Drosophila melanogaster: one gene and its partners. The protein of the gene in region 1 interacts with the protein of each later gene in a pairwise test. Each region holds a gene or a part of one and is shown in the gene's direction. Other genes may lie near its edges.

The links.
Region 2: the proteins of Prm (region 1) and Exo70 interact in a two-hybrid assay, tested with the Drosophila melanogaster proteins (one large-scale study listed by BioGRID).
Region 3: the proteins of Prm (region 1) and CG9297 interact in a two-hybrid assay, tested with the Drosophila melanogaster proteins (one large-scale study listed by BioGRID).
Region 4: the proteins of Prm (region 1) and CG18259 interact in a two-hybrid assay, tested with the Drosophila melanogaster proteins (one large-scale study listed by BioGRID).

What each region holds. Positions count from the first base shown.
Region 1 is NT_037436.4:8,742,299-8,746,981, reverse strand, and holds the start of Prm (paramyosin), read left to right. Parts: upstream 1-1,671; 5' UTR 1,672-1,896; coding exon 1,897-2,019; intron 2,020-2,650; coding exon 2,651-2,707; intron 2,708-4,558; coding exon 4,559-4,645; intron 4,646-4,683. UniProt on the Drosophila melanogaster protein: Paramyosin is a major structural component of many thick filaments isolated from invertebrate muscles.
Region 2 is NT_037436.4:8,410,013-8,416,455, forward strand, and holds Exo70 (exocyst 70), read left to right. Parts: upstream 1-1,838; 5' UTR 1,839-1,948; coding exon 1,949-1,996; intron 1,997-2,034; exon of another isoform or gene 2,035-2,049; coding exon 2,050-2,215; exon of another isoform or gene 2,216-2,285; coding exon 2,286-2,797; exon of another isoform or gene 2,798-2,813; intron 2,814-2,999; exon of another isoform or gene 3,000-3,062; coding exon of another isoform or gene 3,063-3,716; exon of another isoform or gene 3,717-4,091; intron 4,092-4,205; coding exon 4,206-4,270; intron 4,271-4,332; coding exon 4,333-5,063; intron 5,064-5,122; coding exon 5,123-5,445; intron 5,446-5,514; coding exon 5,515-5,648; intron 5,649-5,703; coding exon 5,704-5,806; 3' UTR 5,807-5,898; downstream 5,899-6,443. Other genes in the region: Oseg1 (outer segment 1), read right to left, coding at 1-1,031, 1,103-1,333, 1,417-1,481; mtrm (matrimony), read left to right, coding at 3,063-3,716; CG32354 (uncharacterized protein), read right to left, coding at 5,968-6,443. UniProt on the Drosophila melanogaster protein: Required for exocytosis. Thought to function in intracellular vesicle targeting and docking before SNARE complex formation.
Region 3 is NT_033777.3:13,769,682-13,774,532, forward strand, and holds the start of CG9297 (uncharacterized protein), read left to right. Parts: upstream 1-1,813; 5' UTR 1,814-1,896; intron 1,897-1,915; exon of another isoform or gene 1,916-1,968; intron 1,969-2,186; exon of another isoform or gene 2,187-2,340; intron 2,341-2,490; 5' UTR 2,491-2,668; coding exon 2,669-2,729; intron 2,730-4,253; coding exon 4,254-4,337; intron 4,338-4,630; coding exon 4,631-4,851. Other genes in the region: Cht5 (chitinase 5), read left to right, coding at 1-128, 209-412, 692-847.
Region 4 is NC_004354.4:18,780,762-18,785,079, reverse strand, and holds CG18259 (uncharacterized protein), read left to right. Parts: upstream 1-1,585; 5' UTR 1,586-1,704; coding exon 1,705-1,784; intron 1,785-1,846; coding exon 1,847-2,367; intron 2,368-2,424; coding exon 2,425-3,166; intron 3,167-3,222; coding exon 3,223-3,304; 3' UTR 3,305-3,815; downstream 3,816-4,318. Other genes in the region: CG6891 (uncharacterized protein), read right to left, coding at 3,886-4,002, 4,076-4,318.

The sequences.
Region 1 (4,683 bases):
CATAAAATAAATAAAGTTATGGCCAGCAAAGAGCCAAGTATCTAAAAGATACGAATGCGAACGGAGCAAGAAACTGCTCTAATATATAAGGATGGTTAGCCCATCTAGAGCTCTAGATGTGTGCGTCAGTTGGCCTCAGGTGAAATGTGTGTGGAAAATGAACACGATTATGAGCAAGCCGAGAAAAAAGGCACAAATAACACGAAATTCGGTTGCTAAAAATAAGCGAAAATTCATTTTTAAGTATAGTTAGGCAAATGTGTGTTTGTGTGTGGAGCACAGGTGGAGGAGATCGCTCGAAGACGAACGAGAATTTTCACTCGAAAAGCTTCGGTTCCTTTGGAAAAGTGAGCCAAAAATCGCCGAACGAAGCGTGTTCGCAATGTAACAGAAATTATTTACACAATATGTATTTACTATGGGGGCACATGGAGAGACCCGTCAGTTGCCAAAAAGATATAATGCAGAGACAGTCATCTACGTGACCATTGAACAACAATTGTTAGATGACATCGCATTGTCTGAGGCTGAGCAGACTGCTGTCCGCACGGCCAAGGATTCACTCAAAATTGTATATTTTTGTTTATTTCGCACAATTTTTTTTCACACACTCTCTACGTCTATTTATTTATGCTGGCGAATAACACGTTTCGATGCCAAAAGTCAAGTATTTTTAGAAAACATTGCTGTAATCCTAATTGGCTGTTAGCGAATAATTTAGAAGGCATATCATAGAAAATTTTGACACTTTTATGATTTTTCTGCTTGTGTAAAAATGTTGTAATACCCCTGAGATCTGTATAGCATATATATTTGGGCTCTATATTTGGCTGGGGTTTCATGCTCTAGCCTCTTTTCTTTTTGATAATAATATATGCTAAATCAATTTGAAATCAATCGATTCAAATATTTACATATATAGTCTCTAACGCTTAAATGTATTCAATATTCTAGATGTTCTAATGTTCTAGAAACCGTTTCCAAAAGTCAAATCATTCTATTTAAGTTTGCTCCCAGAATTATATCTCAATCTTTATAGTCTAGGGACTACGTGCTGGAATACTGGTTTGGCACTACCTTTTAAATAATATCCGAGGCCCCTGAACCAAGAAAATGTGCCAATAAATATAAATTATGAACTTTATGATCTGCAGAGGATGCCAAATATTTCAACATGACTTATATGTATGTACGTTCGAGAATTGGGAAAATTTATGTGTAGATACATTCTGGCCAGACGCTAGATACACAAAATGAAACGCACAAATGACACAGGCTAATTACAGGTAAGCAATAGAAAAGAAAAGACAAGAAAAGCAGGCGTACTTCGTGTTTTTGAGTTTATTTTCGTAGGGGGCAAGCTCTCAGGCAAACTAGCGTGAAAATGCGTTCACACAAGCTTCGGCCCAAGTGAAATGAAAAATCAAAGAATTTTCCACACAACTGAGCAATTAACACAACAACACGGCCGCGTGAAAAGTCACTCGAAAGTCCCACTCACATTCACATAGGTGGTGGTGGTGGCTTATAGATATATCTCAGGGTATATCCCACTCGGATCCGATCGGCGGGGAGCCGATGGCGCCCGACGGCGACCGAAGGCTCCCGAAGGGAACCGAATAAATCGTTGAAATAGACGAATTCAGCTGGCAGGCCAAACCAATTCAACGAAATACTCTTTATTCGAACGACAACGGGATCTCTTGTTCAGTAGATCACCAGCCTTACTCCGACGTTTATTACGAATTTTCTCGGTGACTCGGTGACAACTACAAAACTGCGTGCGGTGCTGTATAGATTTTCGCTTGAGAGGAACACACAAATCATAATACTAGATACGCGAACCGATCGCACATTAATTTATAGAACCAAAATCGAAAATCTGACCTAGCAAACATGTCGTCATCGCAGGCTGTCCGCTCCTCGAAATACTCCTACCGTGCCACGTCCACCGGACCCGGTACCGCCGATGTGAACATCGAGTACATCCAGGACCTGAGCTCGCTCTCCCGCTTGGAGGTAAGGATCCCGTCCCGCTCCGTCTCGGAATCTCGAATTCGAATTCGTAATTGGAAGCGGACCGGTATCGTTTAAGAAATCGGCATCGTATTGGGCACCAAATCCCCAAAAAGACGTTGGAATTCCGACCAGGGAATAGGAATACGAAATGCGTGTGCGCCAAATTTTCTTCAAAATCTACGAGAATTTCTCTCTCTTGTTTCGGTGTCTGTGTAGAGACTGAAAAAGAATCGGAATATAATCAAGAAAAAATACGAAAAACAAACTAAGAAACCCGAAAAATTCATCTACACTCTATATCAAATGCACATATATACCGTAGATATATATTCGTGTGTTAAGTTCTCGGCGCGTTCTTGTGTGTGGAAATATAGAAAATTCGGTGAAGCAAAATTCTAGATTTGTATATGTATCTAAACGTGTCTGTATATACATATGCATTGCTAAAAAATTATGTAATGGCCACCTCTGGGCAATACATATACACGAGAAAACATCGAAGAAAAATTTGTGAAGAAATCAATCAACTGTGCTGTAAAGTGCTTTTTAATGAATGTTTTAATCAAATAATATGAAATAACGAGCCCATAAAAGATCAAACTCAATAAATGTATCCACCATTTTCTTGCAGGACAAGATCCGTTTGCTCCAAGATGATCTTGAAGTTGAACGTGAGTTGCGCCAAAGGGTGAGTCATTCAATATGGAAATATTCATAATTTTAAATATTTTTAAGTTATTTTTGAACCGAGTATTTTTAAGGTATTACTATAGGTTTCTTTGGAATATTTTTGAACATTCTTAATTTATTGAGAGCATCGTTTTTAGTCAATAAGATTATTTGCTGATGAAATCGGCGTCAGAGATATGACATATCCGAGGAAGTTAGAAAAGATCAGACCGCATTCTCCGAGACCCAATGGAAATCAAAGCGCCAGGGAAAACCATTTTTACTTTTTTCACCTCGCAAATGTCACCCTAAAAACAGCAAAAATATGTGGAAAGCCAAAATAAAATCAAAATAGACCAAAGTAGCAGTAGCGATAGAACCGATAGAAAAGTCAGCAAACAAATGCAAATCTAAGAATAAACTACCCTTCGTAGAGTTTCGAAAGTGTGAAAGTAAATGATAATGATGTGCATTGAACTTCAATCGCTTTCGTTTTTGGCTTTTCCTTCCCTGCGGAGCATTGATAAATGATTTTTCCCCTGACTTTGCAAAGACAGCGGCCGCAAAGACAGCAAAGTCAGGAACAGCCAGAGAAAAGTGGGAAAATTCGCAGGCCGAAAGTGCACTTCATTCAGCGCAATCCTCTTGGGCGTTACAAATTTAGAAAATGCGAAGAGCTCTTGCCGGAATGGAATGGGCTGGCCAGGAATGTTCTGAAAATTTTGTTAAAAAATCAAATTTAATTACTTTGTGCCTTATGGATTAGCACGCACTCGCACACAGATACAACGCCCCCCAACACACACTCACAATATATGGAACAAAATGGCTAAAATTAGCGCACGACATTCAATACAGAGAAGCGAATGATTAACTTGAAAACAACCAAAATATGAGCAGAGAAGAAAAGAAAATAAAGTAGCCAAAAAGTCATCATCATCACCATCTTCATGATCAGCGGCGGCAGAGAGGAAAATTCGCTCGCTCACTACGGGAAAATCTTCGCTTTTTGTCTGTGGGCGTGTGTCTGTGGGAAAATTAAATAATTTTCATGCACATTAAAAGTCTTCACACCGCCTGGCATTCTTTCTACATATCCACATATGCATATATAGGCGGCAAAAACATGTATCTACAAGATACATATGGCGCAAATGGATTTACGGCCCGTACTTACGTGGCCTTTGTGGCAATCGGCAACTTTTTGTTATGCCAAATGAACGGACAAACACATGTTCGCCTAGGTATTATCATAAACATAAATGTACAAACATATTCAGCGAGAGATTTAAAAGAGATTTATCAGACCAATACGTTCTTTATTTAAGCTTGGGGCATTTCAGTTAGCTGAATTTTTTATGATTGCTTCGGACAGCTCCAAATACCAGAAATCCCAATGGCCGCACATAGCTTTCATAAAATAGCATTTAATTGCAATTCGCAAAATTGACCAAACGAGGTCGTCGACAAAGGCGAAAAGCAAATGTTTAGATTCCGAGGGAGCCAACAAAAAATGTTTCTGTTCAAGCGAAAAATGTTCGAATGCCTTTTTGGAAATGCAATCTAGGAAAGCGGTGTGCGGCCGCCCACAAAAGATATATACGCATATATAGACGCATATATCGTGGATGCAATCGGACTATGGCTACACCTCTGCGTGGAAGATTTCTTGGCAAGATGCCATTGTTATTTTAGGTGTTGCATGTGCATAATTATTTTTGACTGATTAATGTGATTTATAATTTTTATTATGGGCTGTTTGAGTAGCCACAGAGCATGGCTAGCGCAGGGTATTTATAGATCCTTCACATTATACCAAGTCGCTAATGAAATCTCTTCTTAATCTCTGCTTATATTCTTCAAATTTCAGATCGAGCGCGAGAAAGCCGATCTCAGCGTTCAGGTCATTCAGATGTCCGAGCGTCTCGAGGAGGCCGAGGGTGGTGCTGAACATCAAGTGAGTACCATGTGGTAAACCAATATTGCAATCCAGCC
Region 2 (6,443 bases), 330 kb from region 1:
AGCCCACCATTAGTCCTTCTCTTCCCACGGGGCCACCGGTGACTTTGATGTATCTTATGAACGAGTCCATGATCCACTCGCGCTGCAGGACACCCATGAAATCCAGACATTGGAGACGCTTCTCCTGGCACAGGACAATGTGACGGCCACAAACAACCAGCAAGCTGCAGTCGAACTTTTGCTGGATCTTCTCGCGCACTTTATAGTGCATGGGTTGATCCTCTCCAGAGCTCAGCTCATAGAGAACCACACGTTCCGGCAACTGAACCGCCAGTCGATTCCGATAAATGGCTATTTTCTGAACTAAATCTCGACACTTGATGCGCACCTTTTGGCCAGAGATCAGGTGCTGAATGATCACGTCGCACATGTTTTCCCGGAAGGCATAGCGCTCGCGGTAGAGGGCATGCACGGTACTAGACGCAATGTTGAAGCAGGCCAGGGTTCCATCTTGACACCCAATGGTGTAGGATTGACCATTGGGATGTAGGGCAACTGTCCAGATCCAGGTGTCAAAGGTATCGCCCAACGTACCCAGCCGAATGCCCTCCCTGGTGAAGAAGTGTAGACCTCCAGTGCAGCCGCCCACCAGGCAGAACTCCCCATTGGGAAAGTACTGCAGGCACAAGGGATCAAAGCCCAGGGTTCGCTCCTTGCCAATCATCTGGCCGCTCAGAGTGTGAAAGGATAGCGTTTGGCTCCAGTCCACCACACCGATGGTGTCCACACTGCCAGGACCGCTGGCCGGACAACATTGGACACTGAAGACGTTGCTGTTGGGCCCACCAGGCCGATCGATTCTCCCCTTCTCCTCGCCCAACTTGTTCCTAATGGATATGGTGCCATTGGCCAGGCCCAGGATCAGGTACTGTCCATCATTGGTCCACGAGCAGCCATTGACACGCGCGGATATCTTGTACTTTTGCACCGCCTTCTGATCAGCCGACCAAAAGGCAAAATCCGACAAGGAGCACGAGGCCAGGTGGTGCGAAACAGGATTGAAGCTCATGCACTGTATGGAGTCACCGTGCCTATGAATGTAAATATATTTTTATATTTATATAAAAAACTAGAATTTATTGCAAGTGTGCTGAGAACTCACGAATACTTGAGCAGTCCCTCAAGCTGAGGTGACCACACGATGACCATTTTATCGGAGGCTCCGCTGGCGAACCGCTTGCCATCCCGCGAGTAGGCCACACAATTGACCGTATCCTTGTGCGCCTTCAAGGTGTTCAGCAAGGAGCCATCGTTTGGATCGTAGATGAGCAACCGATCCCCCGCAGCCACCACCAATTGGCTGCCATCGGGTGCGTAGCACACATTGTGGACACTGGAAAATTGGGTTTTGCAAATACCGTTATGGCGTTATAGCAAGCAACAGGTTGTTGTTTTCCACGAATGAGAAAGCTTTACCTGATCTCATTGTCTTTGCTATTGGGAAACTCTATGCGTTCCAGCCACTTGAGAACACCCCTCATTGTTGCAGAAGTCGAATTGGCTAATCCTGCATAGTTGGTAGAAATTCCTAAATGCAGGTGCGTTGTTTACACACAGATTCCATGGCAACCAACCACAACAAAAGTTGGCGTCTTGGCTGGAGATGGCAGTTTGGCGGGTTTTTCCGTTAGTTTTGGCTTTTAAAACTAGGACTTGACTAATAAACTAGTACTAGTAGTAAAAACAATTTATTTAAAACATAGCCTCATTATCGTTTACCTAATTGTCTAAGTGTACAATATTTAAAAAAAGTTTCTATTACTATCTGAAATGACCGTTATAATTTTTTTTTTCGTGCAAAGTAGTTGGCAACGCGGTAATTGACAGTATGACCAAAGCCAGTGTGCATAAATGCCTAGTTTCGTCAAAACAAAATAAAATAGAATTGTTTTTTATATCAGAACTATTGTTTGTTTTTAAAGGATTTTAGCTACATATACGCTTGAAAATGAACAATTTGGACAGTTCATTGCAGGCGCACAATAAATTGGAGAAGGTATGTCTAGTTGTCATGCTCAAAACCTCCATACTTACCCATTTTCCTCATAGGAAGCCACCAATTTAGCTCTGCTGAAAGATCGAGTGGATAAATACCATGATCTGTCCACGCAAATGTCCAGTATTCTAACAATCTTCGAGAAGCGCCTGGGAAACCTGGAGCAGACCATATTGCCCGTCTACCAGGAGACGGAGCAGCTCCAGAAACGGCAGCAGAGTATGAAAATAAACTCAATGGGATTTCAAAAAAAAAAAACTAATGTGTCACCGCCTCTTTTTTTTTTTAGATCTGGAAGCTACTCTCAATTGTCTGGAAAGCGTCCTGTCCCACTACGATGTCTCCCAAGAGGTCTGCCAGTTGATTCATCAAGGCCCGGTGGAGGGAAACATCTCGGTGTTCCTCGACGCACTAGCCAAACTGCGCGATGCCAACGATTACTTCCGGCACAACAATTCCCAGAGCGTGGAGCTGGAGAATGTCACCAGTTTGTTTAACACCGGCTGCGAAGGCCTGAGTCAGCACTATAGTATGCTCCTCAAGAAGCACAGTGCTCCGCTGAAGCCGGTGGAGTTGCTGGATCTTATCTACATAGAGGACGATTCCAGCGATGAATACACCTCATTCCGGCAGCTTTCGCAAACGACGCGCGAGGAGCTGTACACCATATCGCACTGGTTGGAGCAAAATTTAAGGGAGTACACAAACATCTACGCGACGGAACGGGGCGAAGTGGTTCTCCGATCGCTGCAGCTGCTCAAGGATCACCAAAAGAGCAACAGTTGGGGTCACGAGGCTCTGGTGAGTAAACAGTTCTTTCATATTCTAACTAGTATTAATACATATATATTATGTGGAGAAAAATAGTACGTAGTAGAATATGAATAGCGATGTGTACGATGATGAGCATATGTATGCTTTTCCCATCTCTGATCGTTTCGGTTAACGGTGTCTGTTCGAAAAAGCTTGTGCATGTAAGCATTACATGTCCAATTCGATGACCGCCATTTGCCAGCTTGAATTCGCAAAGAACGCATCATTTTCTGTGTCACAGTATCTAAAAAAAATGGAGAATTCTCGCACGCCCACGAACAAGACCAAAATTACGCTTAATCGCACGCCAACGCTAAAGGAGCGCAGATGGAACACCCTGAAGGTGAACACCTCCAACGTGCGATGCTCTACTCCGATCTTTGGCAACTTCCGTTCGCCCAATCTCTCGCCCATCGAGAATATGGGCACGAAGGGGAAGAGTCCAGTGTCGCCCATGCGGTTCGCTACCTTCAAGAAAGTGCCAACGAAGGTGCATCCCAAGCAGCAGCAGCAGCAGCAGCATCAGCACTGCCATCGCACTCAGCTTAAGCCCCCGCCATTCGTGCTGCCCAAGCCGCAGGAGGAGATCATCGAGCCGGAGCGAGAAATAAAGAGCTGCAGCAGCCCGGATACCTGTTCGGATGACTCGAATATGGAGACCTCACTGGCCTTGGAGTCGCGTCGTCGTTCCATCAAAGCATCGAACCACTCGTACGTGGTTAACCATGCCGCCAATGTGGAACAGATTCTCATGCACATGGGCCTGGAGAACTATGTGACCAATTTCGAAGAGGCTCACATCGATCTGGTGGAACTGGCATCCTTGGAGCGTGCTGATCTTGTTAAAATCGGCCTAAATACCGATGAGGATTGCAACCGTATCATGGATGTGCTCCACACTCTTTAAGTGAATCGCTGGCATGTCCATCTTTTATCATACACTAAGATTTTAAAATGTTTTATGTGAAGAGAAACTTTGTGATTTTAATATATGTGGATAATTAAGTAGGTATTCTAGAATTATTGTAAAAGACCTGGTGTCTTAAAGCTCGTCGTTTTTAGCCTTAAATAATAAACTCTAGTACACTTTAAGAATCTATGTAATTCCTAAAATGTTGCTCCGAAGCTCATTTACAAATTTAAATTTATTTCGTAAGCTAGCAAATTGCATAATACTTTTTGTCAAAAAAAAAAAAAAAAATTGGGGTATAAACGCTTTTGTAAAACACACATTTTTAAAATTAATAAACTCATAAGAATCAAATGCATATTAAAAGGTTACAAAAATAAGAGTTTTTAATTTGCTACCATTTTAGTACCTTAATTATTCCGAAGAAACATTAATGCAATGGCAATTAACAATTCAAATTAATGTTTTTAAAATGTTTTCTTGCAGAGACCGCGACACAGTGGACGCCAAACGGAGCCAAAAAAGACAACCTCCGCTCGTCTTCAGCAAATGTGAGAAATATTACTTAATTTCCAAGTTTTCGTATATGATATATTTAATTTATTCTGCATAGATTCGAAAAGAAGGCGAACAAGTTATATTTACGCGCGACGCAGACGATTGAGCAGTCCACAGGGTTCTCCATTAAGAAGGCATCATCGCACAGCGACCACCTGACCTCCGAGGATTTGATGGATGGCGATCAGGAACTGGACAAGTATCTGGTCATGTTGCTGGGACTGCAGCGGTTACTTAACTGGGAGCGAGCCATCATGATCGACATTATTCCCCAGTCGAAACACAACGAGGTATTCGCCACCTTGGCCTATAATGCCATCGATCTGGTGGTTAAGGACGCTGAGGCCATTACGCAACGCATCCTGCGCTGCATTTCCCGCAAGGAGTGGACCTCGGCGTTGGGAATATTCTCCGCCCTAAAGCGGGTTATACTGCTGCAGCCGGATATTGACCGCACATACGATCCTGCGCAAAGGGAACAGTTGAAAAAAGTACTAAAAAAGTTGCAGCACACCGGTGCCAAGGCATTGGAGCATTTCCTGGACGTAGTCAAGGGCGAATCGAGCACCAATATTGTGGGCCAAAGCAATGTTCCAAAGGATGCCACCGTGCACGAGCTGACCTCCAATACGATCTGGTTTATTGAGCACTTGTACGATCATTTCGATGTTATTGGTTCCATTTTGGCACAGGATGTCCTGTACTCCACGCAATTGGACACCATTTTGATGAAGAAGGCGCTGCCAGTCGAGGAACGCAATAAGGCGCTCTTGGCGATTTACATAAGTGAGTGGCAACAAGATCAATTGTGCGAACATTTTTAAACCACTATCTATATTTTGCAGAGAAAGCTTTGGCCGAACTGAATCTTTCCATAATGAACAAGTGCGAGCAGTACAATGACCAGGCCACCAAGCACCTCTTCCGACTAAATAACATTCACTATATCCTCAAGTCGCTGCAACGCTCCAATCTTATTGATTTGGTCACCTTGGCTGAGCCTGAGTGCGAACATAGCTACATGGAGATGATACGTGAACTGAAGGCTAGCTATCAAAAGACCTGGTCCAAGATGCTGGTCGGCATCTATTCCTTGGATGAACTGCCCAAACCAGTGGCCGGCAAGGTCAAGGATAAGGATCGCAGTGTGCTCAAAGAGAGATTTTCTGTAGGTTTTTATTTTTAAAATAAGCTAAACTTTCTTGATTTAAAAAAAAACATCCTCTATAATTTCCAGAACTTCAATAAGGACTTTGAGGAGGCATGCAAAATCCAGCGGGGCATCTCCATACCCGATGTGATCCTGCGAGAAGGCATCAAACGTGATAATGTGGAGCACATACTGCCCATCTACAATAGATTCTACGAAATGTAAGCGTATATAGGGTTTATCAGCTTATACCTAACCATCTTGTATCATTTTTAGTTACTCTGGAGTGCATTTTAGTAAGAATCCCGACAAATACGTCAAGTACAGACAGCACGAGATCAACGCTATGCTGAGCAAGCTCTTTGATGATTCGGCTTAGATGTTAAATGCAGGCCAGGCTTTAAGTGCATTCCTTGTAAGTTCGTTGGGGGGCTTTAATTCAAACTCAATAAATATCGTTTTAAAAAAAGTACAATACAAGACTATAGCCTACAAATATTAAATGCCAAGTGAAATGAAGACGCCACGCATACATACGTCCTAGTAAAGGAAGTTAGTGGATGGTGCTTCGGGGCGGCCACAGGCGCCGTAGTAGTTGACGTTCACCGTCTGGTTCGCCCTGCAGTTTTCGATCTCCAGGAAGCAGTCGTTCAGATACGTTTTATTGTCGCTGCCGCAAACAGGCTCGAATTCCCTGGGACAGATGCGGGCACATCCTTTAAGCTGAAAGGCGGCAAGGCAGCGCTTCAGTGGCACCACGAAAACATGCTTGCCACAATTCTCCTTGCGCATGTGGCACTCGGACTTGTACAAGTTGTTGTCCGATCCGCAGACGAAACTTGGCGGCTGGGCATCACAATCCGATTCGCAGTCGGCGGTTAAAGCGCAATTCTTTAGCGAAACGGGCACCACACGCAGATCGCAAGTGCGCCGCTTGAACTCGCACATGGAGGCGAAGGTGTTGCCATCCGAGCCGCACACTGGCTGCTGTTCCAGATCCGCCCGAGTACAGGCAT
Region 3 (4,851 bases), on another chromosome or scaffold:
CACCAACTACTAGCACTACCAAGCGGCCAAAACCAAAACCGAAGCCAACTTCAAGTCCATTGAGCCCAACATCCGCTCCAGGTCCTGTTCCAACTGTTGGCAGTAGCACTCCGAAGCCAACCACAAAGGTAAAGCTTAACTGGTTTTATATTATAGATAAAGTTTTTCTTTAATATTTTAATATTTAATATTTATATCATTTCTATAGAAGCCCAAAAAGCCAAAGAAGACAACAACCACCACAACAACCACTCCTGCTCCGGAAAAGAGCACTGAGGAGCCAGAAGAAGTTGTTTACCCAGTGGATCCAGTGGAGCCCACTGATCCCGAGCAGCCTATGGGACCGCAGTTCGATCCCAACGAGATCGATTGTACCAACCGTGACTTTGTACCACATCCCAATTGCCGAAAGGTTAGTATTTAGGATAAGAAGTTCTTCAGAGCTAATAGTTTGAAAAAAGTAGTGCATACTTCAAGGCGATGGTATGTATTTTGTATTTGGATGACTTATTTCGGTTACCAAACTAAAATGTATATTGTTGCCATGAAATGAATTGGCCTTTTATTTTAAATGTTCAATATAGATACAAATAAATGTGTTTTTTGGAATACGTTTATTTTCTAGCACAAACACTTAATTATAAAACTGAAAAAATCGTATTTAAAAACAATATTTCCAAAATTTCCACAGTACTTCCGCTGTGTCCATGGCAAGCCCGTTGAATTCGAGTGCAAGGAGGGAACGGCCTTCCACACGGTCCTGAATGTCTGCGATTGGATCGAGAACAGCGACCGTTACTACTGCAGTCGAATGAAGAACAAGGAGAAGGGCAACGAGGCCCATTAACTGTCCCAAAATATATGCATAAACTATTTAAAACGAAAAATTTTAGCATAGGTTTGGAATATGTCTAGTAATACTTAGAACTAGGTATCTAAGTATTTAAAATGAATAGCATCTAAGGGTCATAAAGTAGACCAGACGAGACGAAAACCATAAAAATAAATATGATTTTAAAATCCAATAAACCAAGAACTAAATGAGCCGTTCAATAGATGTATGAGCCATCATTTCGAGAATAAAACAATGCCCGATGAGGCAGATCGTGTCTTACATAACCATTACGCATACGTAATGCACCCCGGCCTGCCGCAATTTTAGATGGGGACTTGCCATTTCTAATTAGGCTAATAAACGCAATGACTTGGGACAGATTTGCACTTGTCCGCGGCGAAGTGAGGTGGGCTGCACCAGAACTTTTAGCCTTGGAACACAACCAACGAACAGCTGTTGGTGCAATCAACCATATAAGCGAGCAATGATAAATGCTACAGCGGAATGTATAAGTTCAATCCCTAACATTTGGTTTTCATAATCTCAACTCATGTGCGGAGAGCTTGAGGGAAATGGAACCTAAGCACTTGTGACACGAAACAAATCGCAAAGGGGCCAACGCTTTGATTTCGAAATATTCTTTTTGGCTCAAAAGATGCTCTGAGTAATTTGCGGAATGAGCACCGCATTGTCTATAATTAAACATTCCTCCAAAACGAAAGTGCCGAGAGAGAAAGTGATCTAGAGCTACGAAAATATCTAATCATCAATATCTAATTAAAGTTTACTAACTGGTAATAATATATTTCAGAAATGTTGAAAATAATTTCCATTTCCCATAAACCCATTAATCTCCTCAAAGGTTTTTTGTCACGTATCCGCCGGGTTGTACCCAAAATCCCGGCAGAGAGCGCCGCCACCCGGCGAGAGGAAACCGAAATAAAAATGAAAATTCAAATCAGGCGAATGTGAAAAGCCACTCACTCACTCAACTGTGTGTGCTTTTGACAAAAATTCGTGCTACGAAAATATCAAAATCGAATAATTTTCGCGGTCACAAGGTAAATTCATGGTATATGCATGTTGAGTTACGAATTGGTTTTGGACCGGGAGAGATCGTCTCGTATACTCGTGTACGGCAAACCGAAATTTCCTTCCTTCAGACATTCAGACTAGATAGAAAATAGATGTGATAGGTGTTGGGAAAATTCGAGCTGCCCTGTTCAAAAAACGACACGCACACGACGTGCACAGACGACCCAAACGAAAAGAAAAGACGACCACGACGGCCAGAAATAAGCAAATTATTTGGCTAACAATCGTCGAAAGGGACACTAAGGATTACCCAGCCGACGATTGTTGGTTAAATTTTGCCAACGGCAGCGCGAAAACTTTCTAAATCCATAATCTAAGATATTTAATTCTAAATCAAAATCCATCGATCTGCAAAGTGAATGAAATAACGAACAAGTGCAAAATTGGAAACTGAAACTGTGACAAAATTTGTGCGAACCCAATTCAATACCTACTCAGATACTTATATATATCCATCGGACTTCCAAAAAAACACACATATATATCCAATTCATTCATCCATTGGCTCTCTGGCCTTAAATAATCGTTGGTTTTCCCAATTCTTCATCCTTTTCATTTAGTGCATTTAAACGAGCGCATATATAGCGGATGCATATATATGCAGAATACGAGCAAAAGTGTTAATTCTAATTTTCCCTAATTATTCATAATTACGGAAAACTTGTAAGGAGGATTTATGACGTGGCTAAAGTGCTAACCACGCTGGAAACTCGAGGATAATTTGTTGTGTTGATTATTATGGGGCGGCTAACCATTTGGTTCCTACTGGGACTAACGTTAATCGCCGTTTCCAATAATGGTAAGTACACTTCGAATGTTTTTTGCAGTGTATTACCCCCAGTTCCTCCCCGCGTTATATAAGGCAAAAGGGCGAGTTGGCACTTTTCGAATATCTTGACAGTTTTTCACACAGCCTGGGCAGGCATTATGCAATTTTAAAACAAAAAGCCAAGAAAAACAGAAGAAACGAGTCTGAAAAAAATATGTATTAATATATACGTTTAAAAATATTTGCCTGAGTTTGTGCGTTCTCTATACATTCTCTATTTCTTTTTTTTCGGGTCGGTATTGGTGTCTGCAAACGTCAGTGGACGACACTTTGAGCATTGGTATATTAGTATAGCCCCGTACACTTGACTTGGCCAACCAACTAGTGGCAGCACAGATACAGATACAGATGTATAACTTTTGCCGATTTTTCCTATTTTTTTTTTCTTAAGAGAACTGAGAATTTTTGCGCTTGGCCGCTCATCGTTGTCATCGTTTGTAATATTTTAAATTTAGATATTTTTAAGTTATTTTATTTGCGCTCAGCGAGTGCTTTCCATTTATCTATTTTCCCGCCTGTGTGTGCGAAATGTCTCTCTATATATTTTGTTTGGTTTGCTCAAGTTTGCAAAACAGTAAAGAAAAAGAAAAAATTGAATGATAAATGAGCAACGGCACAAATGCCGTGTACTATATATTATGGGTTAAGATGGGCTCGATTGCAGCAACATAAACACAATATGCAGGCTGGCAATCGGTTGGCAGGCGAAATTTGTATAAATAATTCTATCAATGCGGTTAGCAATGAAAAATACGAAATTGCTCAAATAGCTTCCGCCCACATACGCCCAGAAATAAATCAAAAGAATTATCCGCCGACAAGCAAACTGCACACTGAAAACTGATAGGCAAACTCATTTAAATCGCAATTAATTGAGCTCAGGTTGTTGGCAGATATATGTACGAATATCCCTCTAATCTCTCGACGACATTTGTCCCAAGTGCCTGAAAATTCCAAAGTAATTAGCCAAGCGACCTTACCATACTTTCAGTCCACCAATCACTCAAAACGCGACCTTCCATTACCAAAAAGCAAATGCTGTGGAAAGAGAATAGAATGTTCCATTGCAAATGGTTCGCCCCCGCATCCGGATTTTTCGGAGCAGTAAGGTGGCCAAAAGAAACAAAAACTGAAGAAGTAAGGCCAAAGTGGGCGAGCAGCCAACTGAATGGTATAGAAATTTACTCATCCACAAACTGGCAAAATGTGTTTGAGTTTTCATCTTTTAAAAATAAAATTCATAAATCCGCCACATACATATATATATATATTCCGAAGTGTGTATGTTTGCTTTCGACGAGTACCATAAATAATGTCAAGTTTGAGCAGATAGAATGACCTCGTTGATGGCGGTGACATCAAACCGAGAAAGTGCGACCATTGTTCTAGGATGGGGCGGTTGGAAATAACTTGGACTTTCCGATATCTGGGCTGTATGTTTGGATATACTCGTATTACAAATTGACCTGTCATGTTCTCTTTAACGATTTTCAGTTGGGTTTGTCAATGCCGATGTCGGACCAAGCGAATCAGAATGTCGACCCTACATTGAAAAGGCTATTCATGAATTGAAAACAGGTAAGGGCTATCTTGAGTATCTGAAGAATTTCAATTGCGTTAAAACCATCTTATGAATTAATAATATAGTTATTAAATCTGCTCCTTAATTGAATGATTCATCCTAAAATTTCCATGTTTTAAAAAACTCAACCATCAACATTCATACACGTGTACGTGTTAATAAATTGTATTAATAGACCAATTAACATATAGCTACAAATCAACGTCATATCTTTTTAAAATATAATGAAAATCCTTTTAGCCATTTAATTTTTTTTTATTAATCTATCGGAGTACTCATACGATTTCAGATGGTGTCAGGGATGGATCTGGAGAACTGCAATCCGATCAGCCACGTGGGGACGACGACGATGACGACGATGATGGTGGGCATTCTGCGGTTGATGAGAAAGATACGATTGAAATTGAAACTGTCGAATTGGATTCCACAGAGGACGCGAAAAGTGCCAACGATTTGGATGGAGATGGAATACCCGATGACGAGGACGATGATATCGATGGGGACGGCATT
Region 4 (4,318 bases), on another chromosome or scaffold:
CAGTGGACTGGACGAGGATACGATAGTAGAGGAGCATCAACAGGCCCTTGGGAGTAGAGCTGCACTGTTTTGCAGACGATGCGGCAATTACAGCAGTCGCCAAAACAATTGCAGAGTTGCAGGACAAATGTAACACCACGATTGGAGCTGCCGTCCACTGGAAAGCCGGGCTAGCAATAGCGGCTCGCAAGACCGAAGCAGTAAGTACTAAGCAGCAGGAAAAAGGTGGAGAATATGCTAGTCCTCTGTCAATGCGACACAGGTGACCTCCCAAGAGTCCCTCAAGTACCTGGGTGCTATGATAGAACCACGCGAGTTACGGCAGCAAGAATGCATCAGTCACAGTTTCTTCATTGGCTAGACTGGTGCCCAACATCGGTGGTCCAAGCTATCTGGCCAGGAAACTGGCTTCGCTGCTGTACGCTGCACCAATCTGTAGCAATGCTACAAGCAGGGGTTCATACCTGAAAGGAGCCATGGCCCTCAGGCTCATTAGAGGATTCAGGACAATATGTGAAGACGCGGCACTAACTCTGGCAGGCCGCCAATTGATCGGAGATCAAGGCTCTCGGCCTAAAGCGGGGTGGCGCTTACCGACGAGTGGCTGTTGGGTGAGTGGCAGAACAGGTGGTCTTACCAGCTCATTCCTGAGTCGGCGGTTTGGGCAGAGTGCCAACACAAATGCTTGGACTACCACCTAACCCAGTTTCACACGGACCATGGCTGCATTCGGGCCTATCTACGTCGATTGTTCTGCGTCATTTGTGAGAAAACAGAAGAGCATGTGCTAATGCACTGCTCCAGGTTTGCGATGGAGAGGGAGCAGCTAAAGACGAAGTCAGGTGCTCCGTTCAGCCCTAGTGGCTTGTTCGCAGCTATATTGGCAAAGAGCGAGGCATGGGAGCTGGGACACAGTCTAATCATTAAAATGATTAAACGTGTCCGATCAGACGAGATGGCCAACAGAGAAGGTGGCTAAACCCGAACAGGTGTCCTGTGTGGTGGCGAGTGAAGAATACTACCTGAGCGTTCCCGGCTTGTCGTAAAAAGCGACTAAAGGGTGAAAAGAGGCGCACTCATGGCCTACACTGAAGGAAGAGAGTGTGAAGCCAAATTCTGTTCATCGAAGTCATACAATGGCAGTCCCGGTGAGCGTTCAAGGACTGAAGAGCACACGGAGGTTTTTGTTTTAGTATGTGGTGTTGTTTTTGTTGTTGCGCAGGTATCAGTGTTACCAGACCAGACGTCGGCTAGCACCTAAGCGCGATTGTTCTCGGTTGTGCGAAGGGGCACACTGTGAATTAGTGACTCGTAATGTCAGTGGATAAAACGTATTATGTAGCTTAATATATCATTGACAGTTCTGAGAATTTTCAATCTTCTACAAACTAATGTTAAGACATGCAAAAATTGTTTTTGTAAATGAACAAGTAGTTTAATAGTATTAATCGTATATTTGTATAAGTGTTAGTATATTGCTGTTTCTTTTTTACATTTTATATCCAGAATAACATAGATGTTTTTAAGCGATAGTTGCTATCGATAGTGCTGGACGATAGTTTGCCACCCCAAGTGTCACCAGTGAAACGCCAGTCCTATTTTTTTTTTACGAACGTAGTTCGAATAGTCAGGATAATTTGAATCTGGTTGTTTTTACTTCACACATAGCTTAGGAAAAGGTGTGAAAAGCGTATACTGTGAGCCATGGACATCGATTTGAGTCTGGACGAGATTATAGAGCGGAAGCGCGGGCAACGCGGCTATCGTCCCCTCGACAGAAAGTTGTAAGTACATTTACAGGACAGCCGAAAAAATAGAATGTCACTCAATGCGTTTTCCATTGCAGCAATGCGAACTTCTCCAAGCCGCGCCAGCTGCTGAACAAGCCTTTTTTCAAGCCATCGGGTGCCCGAGGATCTCACTCTGATACGCCGGCAAAGCGCACCTTCGATGCCAGAAACACGATCGCCGCGAAGACACGGGCCAAGATAGCCGATGCCCGGGATCTGATCAACAAGAGCGTGCGCGACTCGGGCATCGATGCCCGCCAGCTGTTGCTGGAGCGAAAGAAGGCCCGTTCGGCGGGCCCAATACTTATTGATGACGAAGAAGAGTCGTTTGAGCCATCACATCGCGCACGCGGAAAGGGAGTGCACATCGGTCAGTTTGGTCACCGCCTTAGCATGTCAAACCATGCGGACGGCACCATTCAGGCGAAATGGGACTCGGACGACGGGGTCGTTGAACTGGGTAACCACATGTTGTCCGGCTTGCGTCGAACCTTTGACCCCAGATCCCATAAGCCGGGCAAACCCTTTGCTCCACGACGCTATATTGATCTTGATAATATGCAGGACCTCGAGGATGGTTAGTTAGTGCCTTTCTCTGCCAAGCCGTTCCTAAAAAGCACTCTTCTACTTTCAGAGGAAATATCTCGCACACTGCACTTAGGGCAAATGAAGCAAGCGTCGCCACGCTACTCAATTGGTGGGCTCGACCTGAACCGCGGCGACGACGTGGAGATGTCCATGGCCCCACTAAATAACAAAATAGATAACAATGCATTCTCCATTTACGAGGCGGCCCGCAATCGCATTGAGCGTCCTTCGCTGACCAACCGACTCGTAGTTGGACGCTCAAATACCACCAAGGAGCCTCTCGAGCGCCGCCACCGCGACACAGCAAGCACAAGTAAACTCCCAGAATCGCTGCGGTCTCGTCTGTTTGTCGGTAAGAGGGATCCTCACATTTCTCATGGCATCTACGCCAACGAGAACCGGAGAAAGGCTGTTGGTGGCGGTGGTGCTAGGGATAGCGATAGCGGTACTGATAGTGATGGTGATGCAGCTGCTCCATCGAAGAACAAGCGCCGTTCGCCATCCCCATTGTCGCTGCGTACGTCGAACACAAAGGATGGATACCGCCTGCTGGTGAGCAATCTGCATACTAACGTGACTACTGCGGATATTCGCGAGCTTTTTAGCGACATCGGCCCAGTGTACGACGCTCGTGTGGTGCGTCCCGGCACCGCCGAAGTTATTTACAAGTCACTGGAACATGCCGAGAAGGCCGTAGATACCTATCACCATCGTCAGTTCGATGACCAGCCCATGCACTGTGTGCTGGTTAATCCGCACTCCTCCCGTCGCTCGGTGCACAAAGCCAGGTGAGTGATATGCTTTAAAGATACCAAGCAGTATTGTTCAACGTTCTCGGCCGTAGCTCTCGCACCGTGACCACAAACTCGTCTGGCGTGGAGGTGGACATCGATGCACTTCACTCGGTACTCTTCAGGGTCCGCTAGGAAGCGAGAGGCAGAGCCCGGGAACTAAAGCAACTAGATAATTTTTCTCATCATTTTCATCATCTCCGTAGTATTTAGTTCAACAACGTAGTCCATTTTCATTTCGCGCTTATTAAATTCGAATCGATCCATCCAGCGTATGTTCAGAAAACCAGACTAGTTTAAACGAGAACATTTCTTTACTATAGAAACTTGAATTTTCTAATGCAAATTCTGGCATATCTGTCCACTTCAGTATTCAGTATTAGGTGGCTAAAATTTTTGTCTTATCATCAAAGTAATTCATCAGTCCCACTATATACACAATTAAATGTATGGCATTGATAATGATTTTGCATCCGCTCTTGAAATTTGGTATTGAAAACTTTTCTTTTACCTTTTTTGAATGACACTATGGATTATGATTATACGATAAATAAGAGGACCCAGTAATGTTACAATTGCTTGTATAATATTTCATAAAATGTACAGTTTTTAAATTTCATAAAATTAATTCATAATAATTAAAGAGAAAGGAGCAGTTTGGTAAGCAGTTAAGAGTTGCAAAAAAAAATGTATATGTAAAGTAACTTGGAGGCCGCTTAGTTATCCCGGATGCCCGTTCCGTAGTTGGCGCCGCCGGCACGGTTCAGTGCTTCACGGAAGAGCTCAATGTCCAGCTCGGCCTCCACTCCCGCCTGAAGTTCCACGGCAAAATTCTGCAAGAGATTAGAGATGAGAGGATCTATTTCTGCCTCTGGGCTCTGGCATCTCTAGCTATTGGCTACTCACGTTGAGGACATCCTTGATCAGCGCCTTGTCCGTGGACATCTTGGCCCTCTGGATGACGCCCACCTCCTGCCCGATCCACGTCAGGAAGATGAACTTTTTGCGCTTGGACATCTCGTCACCCATCTGGATGCGTATGTAGCCAAAGGCGCGCTCCGAGTCGCCGAACTGCTGTCGGAATTCCTCAAAGCACTGACCGCGCGCATGTACAATAATCTGGGCGCCATCGAACTTGAATACCGCCCA